4 linked regions of the Canis lupus familiaris genome follow. The protein of the gene in region 1 purifies or fractionates together with the protein of each later gene. This does not show direct contact. Links are inferred from orthologs where the notes say so. Each region holds a gene or a part of one and is shown in the gene's direction. Other genes may lie near its edges.

What was found. The genes of interacting proteins can lie anywhere in the genome.
Region 2: the proteins of PTGES3 (region 1) and FKBP4 purify together in Homo sapiens (affinity purification with mass spectrometry; 3 studies listed by BioGRID and IntAct, with this or other methods). This does not show direct contact. The link is inferred for Canis lupus familiaris from reciprocal best matches to the Homo sapiens genes PTGES3 and FKBP4.
Region 3: the proteins of PTGES3 (region 1) and SMYD2 purify together in Homo sapiens (affinity purification with mass spectrometry; 3 studies listed by BioGRID and IntAct, with this or other methods). This does not show direct contact. The link is inferred for Canis lupus familiaris from reciprocal best matches to the Homo sapiens genes PTGES3 and SMYD2.
Region 4: the proteins of PTGES3 (region 1) and PPP5C purify together in Homo sapiens (affinity purification with mass spectrometry; 5 studies listed by BioGRID and IntAct, with this or other methods). This does not show direct contact. The link is inferred for Canis lupus familiaris from reciprocal best matches to the Homo sapiens genes PTGES3 and PPP5C.

Annotation. Positions count from the first base shown.
Region 1 is NC_049231.1:1,253,943-1,258,113, reverse strand, and holds the start of PTGES3 (prostaglandin E synthase 3), read left to right. Parts: upstream 1-1,371; 5' UTR 1,372-1,386; coding exon 1,387-1,445; intron 1,446-4,171. UniProt on the Homo sapiens protein: Cytosolic prostaglandin synthase that catalyzes the oxidoreduction of prostaglandin endoperoxide H2 (PGH2) to prostaglandin E2 (PGE2).
Region 2 is NC_049248.1:4,083,433-4,087,654, forward strand, and holds the start of FKBP4 (peptidyl-prolyl cis-trans isomerase FKBP4), read left to right. Parts: upstream 1-1,422; 5' UTR 1,423-1,468; coding exon 1,469-1,573; intron 1,574-1,917; exon of another isoform or gene 1,918-2,043; intron 2,044-3,797; coding exon 3,798-3,942; intron 3,943-4,222. UniProt on the Homo sapiens protein: Immunophilin protein with PPIase and co-chaperone activities. Component of steroid receptors heterocomplexes through interaction with heat-shock protein 90 (HSP90).
Region 3 is NC_049228.1:12,142,584-12,146,591, forward strand, and holds the start of SMYD2 (N-lysine methyltransferase SMYD2), read left to right. Parts: upstream 1-1,208; 5' UTR 1,209-1,324; coding exon 1,325-1,497; intron 1,498-4,008. UniProt on the Homo sapiens protein: Protein-lysine N-methyltransferase that methylates both histones and non-histone proteins, including p53/TP53 and RB1. Specifically trimethylates histone H3 'Lys-4' (H3K4me3) in vivo. The activity requires interaction with HSP90alpha.
Region 4 is NC_049222.1:110,176,356-110,180,626, reverse strand, and holds the start of PPP5C (serine/threonine-protein phosphatase 5), read left to right. Parts: upstream 1-1,471; 5' UTR 1,472-1,557; coding exon 1,558-1,678; intron 1,679-4,271. UniProt on the Homo sapiens protein: Serine/threonine-protein phosphatase that dephosphorylates a myriad of proteins involved in different signaling pathways including the kinases CSNK1E, ASK1/MAP3K5, PRKDC and RAF1, the nuclear receptors NR3C1, PPARG, ESR1 and ESR2, SMAD proteins and TAU/MAPT.

The DNA of each region.
Region 1 (4,171 bases):
ATAAATTCTTAAGATATTTTTTCTGAGTTCCTAAATGGGAAATTGTTGATCCTAGTGTATTCTGTTACAGAAGTACAATATGTATTGTAGTAAACTTTATTATGTACTGTGTAGATTGACAGTGATTTTAAATTGAGGCTGACTTCTCTGTTTCCCTAGGACACCTTTGAACTTCTGGTTTTTCAGGAAGATGCCAATTACTTTACACATTACCTTGAGCAGTAGTATGTTCTTCCCCCTATTGTATTCCAAAGCCATAATGTGCTTTAGTGCATTTTCTGTACAGTAGTTGATCTTCACATGTTGTCATACTTTATTATTAAAAAAGTATTTGTCAGGGTCCTTTCCAGCTCAGCATTTTAATTATCTTTGTGTACGGAAGGCTCTAAGTCACAGACAGGTGTTCTTAAAAATTTTAGTATATATTTAAGTTCCATAAATACTAGTTCACACAGTGCTAATTAGTATAAGGAGTTGTCCTAGATAGAATTGGAACTCAGGATTTCTGACAGAAAGGTTATTTTTTCCACTTTACAGAAAGGAAGAATAATTTCCCAGTGATCCTTTTATTTCCAAAGAAATAACTATGTCTCTCTAGTTCTGTCTTATTATGTAAACTGTTTCTGTTAAAACCTGTGCCACTTCTTGACATACGATAATGGAGTCCAGAGGCTCTGAAATTTTTCTCTACTGGAGGCACTGAGAACGTTGACCTTGAGTCTTATTTGTTCTTTTTTTTTTTTTTGAGTCTTATTTGTCTGAAGAAAAATTACTATATCTGCTTTGGAGATATTTAAAAGAATGCACAAAAGTGGGAGTGTAGGAAGGTTGGAGTTGCTTGGAAGAAAGGCGCTAAGTCTTGGGAGAAATACCATCTTTAAGAACAGCTTTCACTTTTACGTTTAGAGTAGGAATTACCAAATAAAGGAACTAATAACACAGGTTCACAAATGTTCTTGGTTTGCCCTTTTATGTCTTAGTAGGTTTTTTGTTGTTTCCTTTTTTTTTTTTTTTTTTTTTTTTTAATGGTGTTGCTGGCCAAAAGAAGTAACCTAGCAGTTCTGTTAGTTAGGTAGTTAGGTCAAAACAACTTAAGTAATTTATCCGAACAACCTAGTAGTCTTTGAAAAGCAAATACACAAAAATTGAAAGAAAAAGGTTTTTTGTTTTGTTTTGTTTTTAATAACCACAGTTACAGAATATGAATGCCCTTTGGGCACTGTATAACTTCTTATAACTTGAATTCAGATTAGATATGTCTATCTCAACTTCTGTTCTCTACTGTTTTGTTTTTTTTTATGGGTCCCTTTCTCCCCCCCCACCCCCCCTTTTTTTCCTCTAAATCACAGCAACACCAAAATTCTAACTTTGGAGAAATGAAGATTAATGGAGAGGGATGTGGTGCAGTCTGCTTTAAAACTGAACCACCTGGTGTCTGAACTGAGGTTGAGTATCACTAAATTTTTCTCAAATTTAAAATATCTTGCAGCAACCCAGTAAGTTTCTTGTGGTGCCCTGATGCACCTTGGCAAGTAATTTGGAAGCAACTGGGTCAGCATGTGTATTCAGATCACCTATCTAGAAAGTTTTACATGGTAGTACAACTGACATACAGATACTCTGAAAGTATGAGAAGCATATCTTGGGTTTTGTTTGAAGAAAGAATATGTGCATAAGAGAGTGTTGGATTGGGGATCCCTGGGTGGCTCAGCAGTTTAGTGCCTGCCTTCTGCCCAGGACGAGATCCTGGAGTCTCGGGTTCGAGTCCCCACGGCCTCCTTGCATGGAGCCTGTTTCTGCCTCTGCTTGTGTCTCTGCCTCTCTCTCCCTCTCTCTGTGTATCTCATGAATAAATAAAATCTTTAAAAAAAAGAGTGTTGGATTTTTAGACATTTGTGGACAGGGCTTTTCACTGCTCAATTTATGTGCAGTCAAAAGCCCAGTCCAAAAAGGAACTACTTTTTTCCTTTCTAATAGCAGAATTTCATGTTTCCATATCATTCCTCACTTAGTACAAACTAAAAAAGATTTACCTGTGTCTTGATTCCTTTTTGTAAATAATAGACTATTTGACAAACTTAGTTTTAAAAAAATCAGTAATTCTGAATTTTATAACCTCTTTATTGCTGATTTTTTTCCTTGGTTTTAATGATTTTTCTTTTATAATCTTTTATGATGTTTATTTTTTTAAATGTTTTTTTTTTAAAGATTTTATTTATTTATTCATAGAGATGCAGAGAGAGAGAGAGAGAGAGAGAGAGAGGCAGAGACACAGGCAGAGGGAGAAGCAGGCTCCATGCAGAGAGCCCGACGTGGGACTCGATCCAGGGTCTCCAGGATCATGCCCTGGGCTGCAGGCAGCACCAAACCGCTGCGCCACCAGGGCTGCCCTCTTTTATGACGTTTAAAGATACTCTGAGATGTATAAGAGATCATCGAATCTAGTGTTTAAGAAGCTTCCTATTAAATAGAAATGTTTACTTCTAAACCTAGAAAATACTAGGTTAAGATTTAGTAAAAAGCTAGTCTTCTGATTTCTATTGTTTTATCTTAGAATTCAAAGTGATCCTGTAATTCAGAAAAATAATGGTGCTCCATTAAGAGTTAACTTGAAAGGAAACTCATTGGGGCACCTGGGTGGCTCAGTGGTTGAGTGTCCACCTTCACCTCCGGTTGTGATCTTGGGATGGAGTCCCACATTGGGCTCCCTGTGGGGAGCCTGCTTCTCCCTCTGCCTATGTCTCTGCCTCTCTTTGTGTGTCTCATGAATACATGAATTAAAAAAAAAAAAAAAAAAACTAAGTACAGTTGATTCTTGAGTAACACGGGTTTGAACTGTGTGGGTCCATTTAGGCAAATCTTTTCCAATAAATACAATAAGGTTAGTGTATTTTTTTTTTTTTAAGATTTTTTTTTTTAAGATTTTATTTATTTATTCATGAAAGACACAGGGAGAGAGAGAGGCAGAGACACAGGCAGAGGGAGAAGCAGGCTCCATGCAGGGAGCCTGACTTGGGACTTGATCCCAGGTCCCCAGGATCACAACCTGGGCTAAAAGCCGCACTAAACTGCTGAGCCACCCGGGCTGCCCTCTTTTTTAAGATTTTAACCAACTGAGCCATCCAGGCATGCGCGCGCGCGCACACACACACACCCTTTTTTTTTGTTTTTTAAATTTTTATTTATTTATGATAGAGAGAGAGAGAGAGGCAGAGACACAGGCAGAGGGAGAAGCAGGCTCCATGCACCGGGAGCCCGATGTGGGATTCGATCTCGGGTCTCCAGGATCTCGCCCTGGGCCAAAGGCAGGCACCAAATTGCTGCGCCACCCAGGGATCCCTTTTTTTTTTTTTTTTTTTTTTTAAGTAAGTTCTACAGCCATTGTGGAGCCCAGGGTGGGGCTTTGACTCACAACTCTGAGATGAAGACCTGACCTAAGATCAAGACAAGAGTCTGACTCCCTTAACTGCCTGAGCCACCCAGGTGCCCCTGTGAAATTTTTTTTTTTTTAAGGACTTTCTCAACATTGTTTTTTTTTTCTCTAGTTTCTTTCTTCCTTTCTTTCCTTTCTTTCCTTTCTTTTCAAGATTTTATTTATTCATAGAGGCACAGAGAGAGAGAGAGAGGCAGAGACACAGGCAGAGGGAGAACCAGGCTCCATGCAGGGAACCCGACCCGACATGGGACTCGATCCCAGGACTCCAGGATCACGCCCTGGGGCTGCAGGCGATGCTAAACAGCTGCTTTAGCTGCGTCTCTTGGGCTGCCCTTTTTCCTCTAGTTTCATTGGAAGAATATACAGTGTATAACATATGATATACAAAGTATGTGTTTATTGTTTACATTTGGATAAAGAGTCTGGTCAACAGTAGGTTATTAGTAAAGTTTTAGGGGAGTCCTAAATTATGCTTGGATTTTCATCTTTGTTAAGGGGTTGGTGCCCTTAACTCTCATATTCAAAGCTCAGCTGTACGAATAACCAGAGAAAGTTTTTGTTTTGTTTTGTTTGAGTGTTGTGATGTGTTACCTATGTACACATTAAGATAAACTGTAGTTAGTAATGGACCTGATCCCTTTACCCCCCTTCCCCAATATTTCTTAATATTTTTGGACTACATTTAACTTGAATGTAAGTTTTGTTTTGTTGACTGCTCTATCTCCAGAACGATTC
Region 2 (4,222 bases), on another chromosome or scaffold:
ACTCCATCAGACAGGGCTATAACGAATGATCCAATTACCTTATGGAGCTGCAATTTCATCCATAATAGGGTAAATTATGTACCTAAGCGCGACAGTTTGCATACAACAGCACAGTGCCAGGCATATAGTGAGGGCTCCAAAAAAAGATTATTATTGGAATACAAACTTATGCAGCCAAAAACTATTTGACTCCACTCACCAGGCACTATGTTAAACTGGGGCTAAGTGCTGAGCAAAATCGACACTCTCTAGATGATTCTTTTTTGTCAAAGGCAAAATCTATCTATTCAGGTAGCTAGGGGCTGCAGAGCTCTGACTTGCCGCACAGCTGCTCTGCACTCACAGGCAGTCGGTAGATACTCGAAAACCAAGTATCAGGCAGAAAATTTTCATTGCCGTGGGTCTTTGGTAAAAAGGAGTGACTGTTTTCGTGACTTGAAACAATTTCCATTTTTAAATATTAATCTAAAGGGTCCTCCTATCATAGCTGGGGAAGGTCCCTTTAATATGCGTCCCATTTAGAGTCCTTAGCTCAGCGGGTCATTTCTTGCAAATCCTGCTCCGACCATTTTAAGCTAAAGGCGGCACGTGTTCCCGGGTCTGGGGAATTCAGGGGTGTTCTCCCAGATTCCGAGCACTGGGGTCGCCGAGCCCCCTTCCCTTCTCTCCCCCCAGCCCTCTAAGCGTCTGTACGCTGAGTGCAGAGATGCGAGGCCGCGCCGCGTGCGCCCGCCGCCGGCTTATAAAAATGCGCGTCTCGTGTGCGGGGAGATCACGTCCGGCTGCGCGGGTCGGGGCACAGCACGCCGCAGGCTGCAACGACGGGGCGGATCTGGGGCGGACCTGGGGCGGACCTGGGGCGGCGGGCACCCTCGGCCTGGGGCTGGTGCAGGGGATCGAGAAGGATCTGGAAGAATCTGGTTAGACCGGGAAACGGGCGGGGGAGGGCCAGGGAAGGGCGCTCGGGTGGGGGTGGGGTGCGGGTGAGCGGGGGAAGCCCCCGCAGTCCGAGGGCCCCAGCGTGGGGAGAGGGAGGCCAGGCGGCCGCAGGGAGGAAAGAACCGGGGGAAAGGGGAAAAAAAAAAAAAAAAAAAAAAAACCCACCCGAAGCCCAAGCCGCGCACATTCACACAGGCACCCCGAGCAGCAGGGCCCGAACTGGCTCGGCGGCCGCCGTCTCCAGAAAGTTCTCCGCCCCCGCCCCCTCCGCCCCTCGCTCCCGCCCCTGCGCCTCCCAGCCCCTCCCTCCGCGGCGGGTGGCACCAATCGCTCCCCGCGGCCGCTCATTACCCACCGACTCCCGCTCCCGCGCCGAACCCGCCGCGGGCCGCGAGCGCGCCGGAGCCAGCGGTGTTGGAGCCCGAGGCCGGTGCGCAGCCGGGCGGCCGCCGCCAGCGCCCTCCCGCCCGCCTCCCCCAGCAGACGGCCCGGCTCCCGGCTCCCGGCGTAAACGGCGCACCGAGCGGCGATGACCGCCGAGGAGATGAAGGCGGCCGAGAGCGGGGCGCAGTCGGCGCCGCTTCCCCTCGAGGGGGTGGATGTCAGCCCCAAGCAGGACGAAGGCGTGCTGAAGGTACGCGGCGGCGGCGCGGGCGGCCGGCCTCCCGCCGAGCCGGGGACCCCCGGGCGCCCCTGCAGCGTCCGCGCGCGCCGTGAGCCGGGCGTGCGCCCGCGGCCCCGTGCATCGCCCTCCCGGCCCGGGCTGCGTTGTCGGGCGGCGGGGTGCGCGGGGGCCTCGGCCGTTCCGCGGCGTCCGGGCCCGACCGCAGCGCCAACTCCGGCGTGCGCGGTGCAGCGCGGAGGGAGGGGCGGGGCCGCCGGTGGCACGCGAGGTGCCGCCAGGGGGCCCGGGCCGGCCCCGACGCCGCCCGCCGCCCCCCGCACCCGGCCCCGGCCCCGCCGCCCCGCCGCCCCGCCGCCAGCTGCAGCCGGGAAGCCCCTGGACGCGTCCGCGGGCGCTGCTGCGAGATCTCGGCTGCCTCGGGCAGTTAAACATGAGCTCGGACCCGGAGCGGCCACCGGACTGATTCTCCTGGCCCAGAGGTTCTGCTGCGACCTGGCCCGGCCCGGGGCCTGGCGCCAGCAGAGCCGGTGGCGCCCTCCGTCCCCCCGGCGGCCCCCTTCCCAGAGGCTGGGACCCAGCGAGGTCACCGGCCCAGCCATGCTGGCCCCCTCCCCCCGCCCCCGCCCCGGGAGGGCCAGCGAGCGGCATGCCGGGACCTGTAGTTCCCCTCCCCCTCGTGAGCCGGGGCCGGGCTGCGGGCCGGGAGGAGGTGCTCTGCTGGGAGCCGCGGAGCCGCGGAGGGAGGGGGCCGGGCCTCGGGGGGCAGGGCATCTTGACCTGGGTCAGGGCGACTTGATGGTGCTTCAGAGCAGGTTCTGTGCAGTACAGGATGGCGAAATCCCAGGCTGGATTTCATGCCTCCTCCTCATGCAGTGTTTCTTTTCATCCTGGCTTCCCACTGCTTAGTTGCGTGAGAGAGAGCGAGAGAGACCTGGGCAAAGCTGGAGACCTCAGGGAACCCATAAACTGGTCCAGAAACGGTCCTGGTTTTGCCCAGATCTCGGAATCTTAAGCTGTTCTCCCAGTGAGCATGTGGCTTTCTCTTCTCTCTCCAGCGTCCTGATGGTTTCTACAAGTTTATTATTCCCAGAAGGGTCCTTTGCCCTTTTCTCTTCCACTCCCTCCCTTTTGTACTCTTCAAGGCTTCTGCCCATTCTGTTATGCAGGCTTTCCCTTAATAGGTAACCACATACGTTCCAGGTGATCCATGGAGTCTCCTTGTCCCCTTATATAAATGCTAAAGAAGAGCAGCAAATCTTCCTGAGAAAGGCTCTAGTTCTCAAAACACTTCACTTGCTTCCCAATCAAGTGAATGCTCCTGTCCTGAGTCTCAGTGCCCCTGTGCCCATCGGTGACCTGGTATTTTCACAGCCTCTTTTGGACTTCTGCGATCCTGTCCATTATTCTATTTCTGTCCACAAACCAGACCCTGATATGATGACCACCAGCATTTAGGAAGAATGAGGAAACCTAGCATAAATGGTTCTCTCTTTTCTACTGATAATAATTTTCAGCTTTTTACCAGTTTAATTCTCCAATCCTGATAGGGACTATTATCACCAGTCTACAAATAAAGTCTAGAAAGCTTGACTTATACAAGATCATAGAGCAAAAACTTGAACTCCGGGTTTCTGTTTTGAGTTTTCTTCTCTCTCTCTTTTTTTTTTTTTTTTTTTACAGATTTTGTTTGTTCATGAAAAATAGAGAGGTGGCAGAGACATAGGCAGAGGGAGAAACAGGCTCCCTGCAGGGAGCTTGATTCTGGACTTGATCCTGGGATCCTAGGATCATGACCTGAGCCTAAGGCAGATGCTCAACCACTGAGCCGCCCAGGCATCCCTGTCTTGAGGTTTTTGGTTTTCTTTTCTAAAAAAAAATTTTTTTTTTAAAAAAATTCATTCATGAGAGACACACAAGAGAGGGGCAGAGACACAGGCAGAGGGAGAAGCAGGCTCCATGCAGGGAGCCTGACGTGGCAGTTGATCCCGGGACTCCAGGATCCCAAGTCCTATTGCACCTCAAGAAAGATGGAGGCAGGGTGTCAGCTGGCTTCTAGCCAGACTTAATGTCACAATCACGGGAGGTTTAGTCCTTTTGCTTACAGTGTGACAGAAGGGTCCCTCTATGTTTGCATCAGAGTCTGTGTGGGCAGTTTAAGTGCCTCATTCAGCCCCCATGCCCCGGGAAAGCCAGCAAGCTTTCCCAGTACTCACCTTCTCTGCCTTCCTCCCAGGTCATCAAGCGAGAGGGCACAGGCACGGAGATGCCCATGATTGGGGACCGAGTCTTTGTCCACTACACTGGCTGGCTGTTAGATGGCACCAAGTTTGACTCCAGTCTGGACCGCAAGGACAAATTCTCCTTTGACCTGGGCAAAGGTAGGCACGGTTAGTGGGTTGGGAGCATCAGCTCTGCGGAGGGTGTAAGCTTTCACAAGCAGAAACCATACTTTCAGAAGCGTAAGGAGGAATGGTTTGTTCAGTCCATGAATTTTTCTCGTTAAACTCGTTTTTTCTTCTCCTCTGCTGGAACCGTGTTGATCTCTCTCTCTCACTCTCTATCTCTCTCTCACCTTCCCTAATCACCTTTGGACGCCTCAGTTCCTCTTCAGGGGTAGATTCCCTGGTTTCTTTCTTTTTTTTTTTTTTTTTTAAATTT
Region 3 (4,008 bases), on another chromosome or scaffold:
CATCCTTTGTAGCAACACAGATATCACACCCTACTTTCTCAGAGGAGTGACACCAACAGCATGCATGTGTATGGGCTTCAGGGCTTAAGTATTCTAGGAGCTACACATGTTCCTTCCAAATCCTGGGTGACTTGCAACCAAATGAGCTTTCCTGAGATGACAGGGAGGGGTCCAAGGGATCAAGACCACTGCAAATTCCAGCCCAGGGTTCTGGCTGCACAATGGCACTTGGGACCCTGGAAGGGTTTAAGTTCTTTGAAGGCCAGATTATCTCCCGTTTTCTCGGGGAAGAGGAAGTTTCTTGAAAGCAGAGACTCAGTGCTCCAGGCTGACCTGACTTTTCCTCTTCTGTCCATGTAATTAATTTCCACGAGAGGGGCAAAGGTTCCCATCTGAATACTCCGGAGAAAAAAAAAAAAAATGAATACTCCGGAGACTCCTGCAAGGTCTGCAGCCTCAGGAGGCTTCCAAGCCTTTGACCTTTGGAAGGCGCCCTTGAACCCTCAGCGCATCCCACACTGTGCGGCCTCTCCTGGGCGCCCCAGGGTGACCCCGTCTAGGGCCTCGGCCTCTCCCGGGCGCCCCGGGGGGACCCCATGTAGGGTCTCAGGTGCTCCAGGGTGACCCCGCCTAGGGCCTCGGCCTCTCCCGGGCGCCCCGGGGGTACCCCGTGTAGGGTCTCGGGCGCCCCAGGGTGACCCCGTCTAGGGTCTCGGCCTCTCCCGGGCGCCCCGGGGGGACCCCGTGTAGGGTCTCGGGCGCCCCAGGGTGACCCCGTCTAGGGTCTCGGCCTCTCCCGGGCGCCCGGGGGGACCCCATGTAGGGTCTTGGGCGCCCCAGGGTGACCCCGTCTAGGGCCTCGGCCTCTCGGGGGGACCCCGTGTAGGGCCTCGGGCGAGGGCAGGGCACACAAGGTGCAGACACAGCTCCGTCCGCTGCGCGGGGCCCAGGCGGCCCGTCTGCCCCGCCCCCCCCAGGCCGTGCATCCCCCGCCGCCCACGCACGGACCAGGGGCCGCGTCCGCCCTCCCGCGGGGACGCCCCAAGCGCCCGGGGCGGGCGGCCGAGGGGCGGGGGGCGGGGCCGCGGGCGGGTTCCCCTCCCCTCCCCTCCCCTCCCCTCCCCTCCTCCTCCTCCCTCCCCTCCCCCCCGCCCCCGGGGGCGCGCGAGGGCCGGGCGGGGCCGGCGTCCCTTCCGGGGAGCGGCGGCCTCCCTCCCCGCGGCTCTGGGTGACGCTTCTCCAATAACAGCTCGCGGGGCGCCTCGGCTCGGGGCGCCGGTCCCGCCGGTCCCGCCGGTCCCGCCGGTCCCGCCCCGCTGCCGGCATGAGGGCGGCGGGCGACGGCGGCCTGGAGCGCTTCTGCAGCCCGGGCAAGGGCCGGGGGCTGCGGGCCCTGCAGCCCTTCCACGTGGGGGACCTGCTCTTCTCCTGCCCGGCCTACGCCTACGTGCTCACGGTCAACGAGCGGGGCAACCACTGCGAGTACTGCTTCGCCAGGTAGGGCGGGGGCGGCGGGGGCGGCGGGGGCGGCGGGCGGGGGCGGGGGCGGGGGCGGGGGCGGGGCGGGGCGCGCGGGCGGGGGCGGGGCGGGCGGGCGCCGCGGCGGGGGAAGTGCGCGGCGCGCGGGGTCCTAGCGCCGGCCGCTCGGGCGGAGGCCGCCCCCGGGCGGGCGGGAGGCGCGCTGTGCCCCCGCGCGAGCCGCGCCACGTGCGTGGGGACAGAGCCGCCGAGGGCCCGCCGCGCGGCCTGCGCTCTCCCACTTGCTTGCGCCGGATGGGCTCACGCGGGAGCGCAGGGTCCTGGCCTCAGACGTGGGCGCCGAGCCAGGCGCGTCCCGGGCGCGAGCGCGCGCTGCCCGCTTGGAGCATCGGCGGCCCGGCCCAGGCCCAGGTTGGAGCAGCCGCAGCCTGCAGCCCTCCACCTGGGCCTCCTGCGGCGTGTTCCGTCCTGCACCCCCCACCACCCCCACCGCAGCCCGGCCCACCCCAGCTCACCCCAGCCCACCCCAGCTCACCCCAGCTCACCCCAGCCCACCCCCAGCTCAGCCCACCCCCCAGCCCCAGCCCGGCCCGGCCCGGCCACCTCCTGGGAACTTCTTGACAGTTAACATTTCGTGTAAAGTACTCGGCTCCTCCTCTTCCTTCTCACTCTGCGCTGCTGTTTGGAGAGAAGCCGGAGGGGTACGGACCGCGCACCCCGGGGTTCTGAAGGGCTGCGGTGAGGGCGGACGCACCTGACCTCGCTTTGGGATTCTTCTTTTGAAAACGTGGCCTCCGGGGCAATTAGGCAAAATGTGTGGTCGGAAATGGTATTTAATAGTAGCGTGTCGTGTATAAAAATATACATACGTATACTCACATAGGTCTCTGTTCATAGGCACCCACACATAATTATATCCTCAAGCTGTATGATGGTTTCAGACCCCAAAGGCACATTCCCGAGTCCCGACACACTTCTCTCCATTTTACGGGCCCAGATAGGAAGTGTGGTTGTGTATCTGTATCCTCACACCAATGGTTAAGGGAATGGAGTCTGTTCTCTCCAGTTCTGCCCATGTCCTGCTGGTTTGGGTGCCCAGGAAACTTCCAGAGACACGAAGCATGGCGTTGAATTAGGTTTGTACCCAACCTACCGCTGCTCTCTGAAGAGTGGACCGTGCTTTACTTTCTTTGAATCTCAGTTTCTTCATCTTGGAAATGGAGCTTCTTGGGTCAGATTACACTGACCTGAGGTCCCGCAGGGACCCTTTGAGGACAGGTCTCAAGTCCACCATACACCAAAGGACCCAGTTTCCCAGACACGTGTGCCTTATTCTATGATAAGACATAGCGAAAGAAGGGACAAAGGCTAAATATTATAGTAATCTTGCCCAGACTCCCTGCCAGAACTGTCTTCCGCTTGGGGGGACCTGGAAAGGCACTAGACGCAGAATCATGCCGTGGGCAGCTTAAGGGCTGTATGTGATGTGGCTCTTTGAATTGGTGAGTCAAGAGCTAAAGGGTCATGGCACCACTTTGCAACGTTTGAGTGAAGTGAGCATTGGGTTTTCCCAAAGTTAAAAAGGCTGCTGTGACTGGTCCCTTGATCTTCTGAGCCTCGCTGTGGCTCGGAGTCTGAAGCAGTGTGGGTGTCTGGAGTGGCAGGAGCAAAGCGGGGTCACCCAGCACGGAAGGTGCTCCCCTCCATCGGGAATCCTGGTGATTCCTGGAGTCCATCCTGTGAGAGAAGATCACAGCGCCAGGCACATAGTAGGTACTCAGATGGCAGTTCCCAGTGCGCTCCTGCAGTGAATTAGAGATCAAATCCCTCTGGGTTCAGAGGGGAGAAGCGGAGCTGAGAGATGCTTCTCTTTAGCAGTGAGCGTCCTGACTGTATCTACTGTACACGCCCCCAACCTTACAACTTCAGTGTATGGTCAGATTCCGCTCCACAAATCACCCTGCCCTATGGGACAGGGTGTGCTTTGTTTTTCCTTTTTCTCAATAACTTTTGTTATTGTAGCTGACTGTTGTCTTAGACCCGACACCAGGGCTGCCACGTGCGTTGGGGCGGTACCACTGCATCTGTCCCCATCCACGCCACTTTTTTCTGTTTGGCTTGGGTGAACTTCTCTTAAGACCCACGGTTCATTTCTTCTCTCTCCCCAAGGAGTCATTTGAAATCAGCTAAAATAACACACCAGAAATAATGACACCATGATACCTATGAAACTGGAAATATCCTTGTACACCACTCTATGATTTCTGTTAAATTCGATTAGTTTAGGATTCGCGGTTAGGTTGTTCTCATAGATGTAGCACCATTTTCTCTGTCAACTATTTGATTATGTCTAAGAACAAACCAGTCTGTCCAGCTGCATTAGAACACATATATGTCTCCTGGACCTTCAAGGGAGTAGGAGGAGAATTCTCAAATATTAAAGCATAGAGGGTAAAATCTGCTACTTCCCTACCCCCCTGCCCTTCTCCCACAGGGGGAAAAAAAAACCCAAACTATTTCTTATCCTTT
Region 4 (4,271 bases), on another chromosome or scaffold:
AGCCACGTGCTCTACTAAAGAAATAAAACTTTCAGGCCTCGTTGCTCCCTTGCCTAAAATGCTTTTTTCTTCCTTCCTCCTTCACACTTGGTTATCTCCTACTCATTTTCAGCTCTTGGTTCAAACATTCCCTCCTCCAGGAACTCTTCCCTGCTTGTCCAACAGGGTGAGCCCCTCCTCTCCCCTCTCAGGTCTAGGTACTCGATACCACTCTGAGTATTTTATTGGACTGTGTATAAAAAGTGCTTACTCTGTGTTAGGCCCTCTGCCAAATACTTTATTCCTATGATCTTATCAAATTTCCGCTAATCATATATAATAAGCACAGTTATTGTCCCCATTTTACAGAAGAGGAAACAGGTTCAGAGGATGATCACTTGCCAGGGTCACACAGCAGGGAAGGACTGAGCTGGATTCGAATCCGGGATTCAAATCCATCACAGCAGCCTTCCCATACACACTTCTAAAAATCTCAAAAATCTAGAGTCTAGGGACAGTGGAGTAGGGCTTAAGAGCACAGAATCAGATGGGACAAGGTGAAGTCCTGGCTCTGCCACTCTCCTTGTATGACCTTGGGGAAGTTGGTTGACTTCTACAAACCTCGGTGTCCTCAGTGGTAAAATGGAGCTGATACTATAATCTACTTTCTAGGCTGATTGTTGGCTATGATACGAGGTGGTGGGATCAGGCTGTCAGGACAAGGCGACTGAGAAGTGGGACAGCTGTGGTTGTAGGATGGGAGCTCCAGCAGGGCCTTAAATGATTTAGTGCCATAGTTCCACAGGAGGAGCAGTTGAAGGCTTGGAGAGGATGGTCTGCTAGGATGTAATGGTTGGGGTGTGTGTGTGTGCATCTGGAGATGTCGCCTGGGGCTATCCTATTCAGTGTTTCCTAGGTAATGCAGTAGAAAGAGTTTAGGTTTTTCTAAGGCCACTGTTGCAGGCTGGGGACTAGGAGATGAGGATGAAGAAAGGAGATGGTGCAACAAACTTCTGGGCCTTGCTCAGGACTAGGGCATCCAGAGCGCCTTCAGTTAACAGATGGAGATACAGTTAACCTTCAGGGTTGGAACTTTAGTCTCTTGGTTTGAGAATCCACGCATTTTTCAGAGGGGGGTAATTGCCCCTAATTGCTCAAGGTCACCCAAATAACCGGCCGTAGGGCTAGTCTCCCGGCTCTGGTTCTGCGTGGGGCTGCCTTGCAGCCACACCCACCCACCCAAGAAGACCCCTCCAGAACTTCGGCGGCCTTCGAACACGGCGACTTCGCGAGCGCGGGCCCGGCCAGACCTTCCCCGCTCGCCCCCGCCCCGCGCGCCCCCTTTCGCCCTCCCCATTGGCTCCTTCTACGAAGGGCGCTGTCTAGGGTCCCTCTGGTCACCTTGTCCTCCGCGCGCTCTATGGCGAAAGGGCCCTGCGCAGGCGCGCGAAGGGAGCCTTCGGGGCCCGCGCTTTACGACACTTGTGCAGCAGCGGCCGCAGCAACTCGGCACTCCTTCGCGACGATTCGGCCGGGTGCCGCTGGCGGCCGTTGCCAGGGTGGGGGTCGCTTTGCGGCATGGCGATGGCGGAGGGCGAGCGGACTGAGTGTGCTGAGCCCCCCCGGGACGAGCCCCCGGCTGATGGCGCTCTGAAGCGGGCAGAGGAGCTCAAGACGCAGGCCAACGACTACTTCAAAGGTGCGCCTGCCCCGGAGGGGGCCAGGGAGGGTGGAGAGCGGCCCGGGGCAAGGGGTGCCCGGCCCGCGCGGAACCATGGCAACGCGGAGCGGCAGCCTGGGCGCGGGGCAGGCACTACCAAGTGACCGGGCTTGGGGAGGCCCAGGATGCCGCTACCAGGGGCCGACAGGGGGGGCTTCTGACAGGAGGGGTGATACCTAGAAGCGGCATTCGGAGCGGGTGCTACTAAATGGGGAGACTGGGGAGGGCGCTACCAAGTGTGCGGCGGGAGGGGGACGGGAGCGAGGGCATTTCCGAACGTGAGGTCCTTGAGAGGTGCTAGTTGTGGTGAGGCCTGAAGAGGGCGCTGCCAAGTAGTGACACAGGGCTGGGGAGTGATGGTGCTACCCAGTGGGGAGATGGGGCGGGGGGGCGGGGGCACTGTCCCAGTAGAGTAGGGGTGGGGAATAGATCATTAGATGGGAGGGCAAGGAGATTGGGGGTTGCACGAGAAAAAGGGATGCGTGGGAGGCCCTGGGAGTAAAGGTGGGGAAATCCCAAGAATAGTATGACATCCGATCTTGAAAAAGAGTAAGATGTGGGGGCACTCATTCATTCAGTAATTCATTATATTTCTAGAGCACCTGCTTTGCGCTAAGGACTGTGCCAGACTCTGGGGATTTAGCAGGGAATGAAGCAGATGTGGCCCTGCCCTTTTATAGCTTGTAATTCAGCAGGAGAATAAGACATTGAGCAAAAACACAAGAAATAATAAAATGCTTAGAAGTTATGAAGAATGCTTTGAACAGACCCCAACAGGGTGTGAAGGAGAGAATGAGGGCTGGAGGCTACTTTATAGAGAGCGTCGTCAGGGAAAGCCTTACTGAGAAGGCATTTGAGAAGAATCGCGAAGGAGTGTTTCAGGTGGATGCAGCCAGATGTGCAAAGGCCCTGAGGTAGGAAATGAAAGACTAGTGTGGTGGAAGCTTTAGCAAGTTAGCAGGGAGATGGATACAAGATAAGTTTAGGACCGGGGCCAGACCAGGTGGGGTTTCATAAGTCATTGCAAAGCTGGTTTGGATTTTACTGGGCTATTCAAGAGGAGACATTGAGTTGACAGATGGGCCAGTCTGGAGCTGCAAGGAGAGGAATTTGGGCCTGATCAGCCTATGCATGGAATAGAACACCTGCAAATGGATGAGGTCATCTAGGGAGAGAAGGGGCTGGAACCTTGAGGAATTCTAATGTTTAGAAAAGAAGAGGAAGAGGCTGAGGAGGAGTGGTCAGTGAAGTGAAAGGGAAGTTGGGAAAGGTGTCAGGAAAGATGAGAGAAGAGAGTGCTTCTAGAAGGAGGGGGGCTGTACCTTGGGTCGGGTGCTACCAGGGTGAGCACTGAGCATTGACCATTGGATTTGGCTTCACGAATGTTGGTGGTAGCCCTAAGAAGGGCAGTTTATAAGAACAGTTTTGGGCAACAATGAAGTTGGTAATTAGCTAGGAGAACACCCAAGGGTGAACAGGAAGTGAAGTAGAGACAGCAAATGTTGACAAAGTGGTTCAAGTATTTTGGTCCTAAAAGGGAGTGGAGAAATGGAGAGAGGGAGGTGCTTGCTTTCTTTCTCTCTCTTAAAGGATGGAAGAGTCCAAGAGTCTGGTCCAGTAGAGAGCTGGAATTGATCCTACAAGAGAGATGGGAGACTTATGGCAGCAAAGCTGGGGAAAAGAAATGGGGTTGGAATCTAGAGCCTTAGCAGCCTTCAGTTGGCCTTCAGTGGAAGCGCAAGGGGATTCAGAGCAGGAACATTTGGTCAGGCTGCAGCCACGAGGAGAGGACCAGTGAGAGATGAGGCGGAGCCTTGGAGGCCAGTTCAGGGAGTGTGGATGTCATCCTGAGGGTGGTGGGGAGGCATGGTAAGATTCCCCAGCTTCCGGGCTGAGATTGGATACAAGGGCAGAGCTGGAGGTAGGAAGGAGACAAGGATGGTGGACAGGTAGATAAGAGGTGTCTCTGGTCAGAAACCAACAAGAAATGTTTCAGAGAGGATATGAGGGCTGGTGAGAGGGAGGAGGGAATGCCAGGCAGAAAGAACAGGATGGCAGAGGCCTATCCTGGCAAAGGTGAGCAGAACCTAGCCTCAAGGAAGTAAGTGGAGCCGGAGTGTAGGAGGCAAGGGAGGATGCTGAGCTTTCTACTGTGGACTCTGGGGAGCCATGGATAGTTCTGAGAAAGGGAAGGACAGGGTTAGGTTTGTGCTTTAGCTGGACCCCTACAGAGGGGCAGGACTGGAGGCTGGGAGAGCAGGGAGGAGGCTGAGGCAGGAACCCGGGCAGGTGGACAGATTGAAGGCCAGACCAGGGCAGGGCGGGGCTGGAGGGATGGAAGTGGATGAATAGATCTGAGATGTTCAGGAGGCTGCCTTGACAGAACATGGCAACTGCCTGGCTTCGGGGGGTTGAGGGGTCGGGAGAGGTGTCGTCGGGAGAGGTGTCCAGGATGAGGCATGGTCTCCAGCTGGGGATTGGCTGTCCCTGAAATGGGGCTGAGGAAGAGCAGCAAGTATGAGGGTTGTTGCTGAGGCGAGGTAAGAATTCTGGGAAACCGTAAGTCATGGGG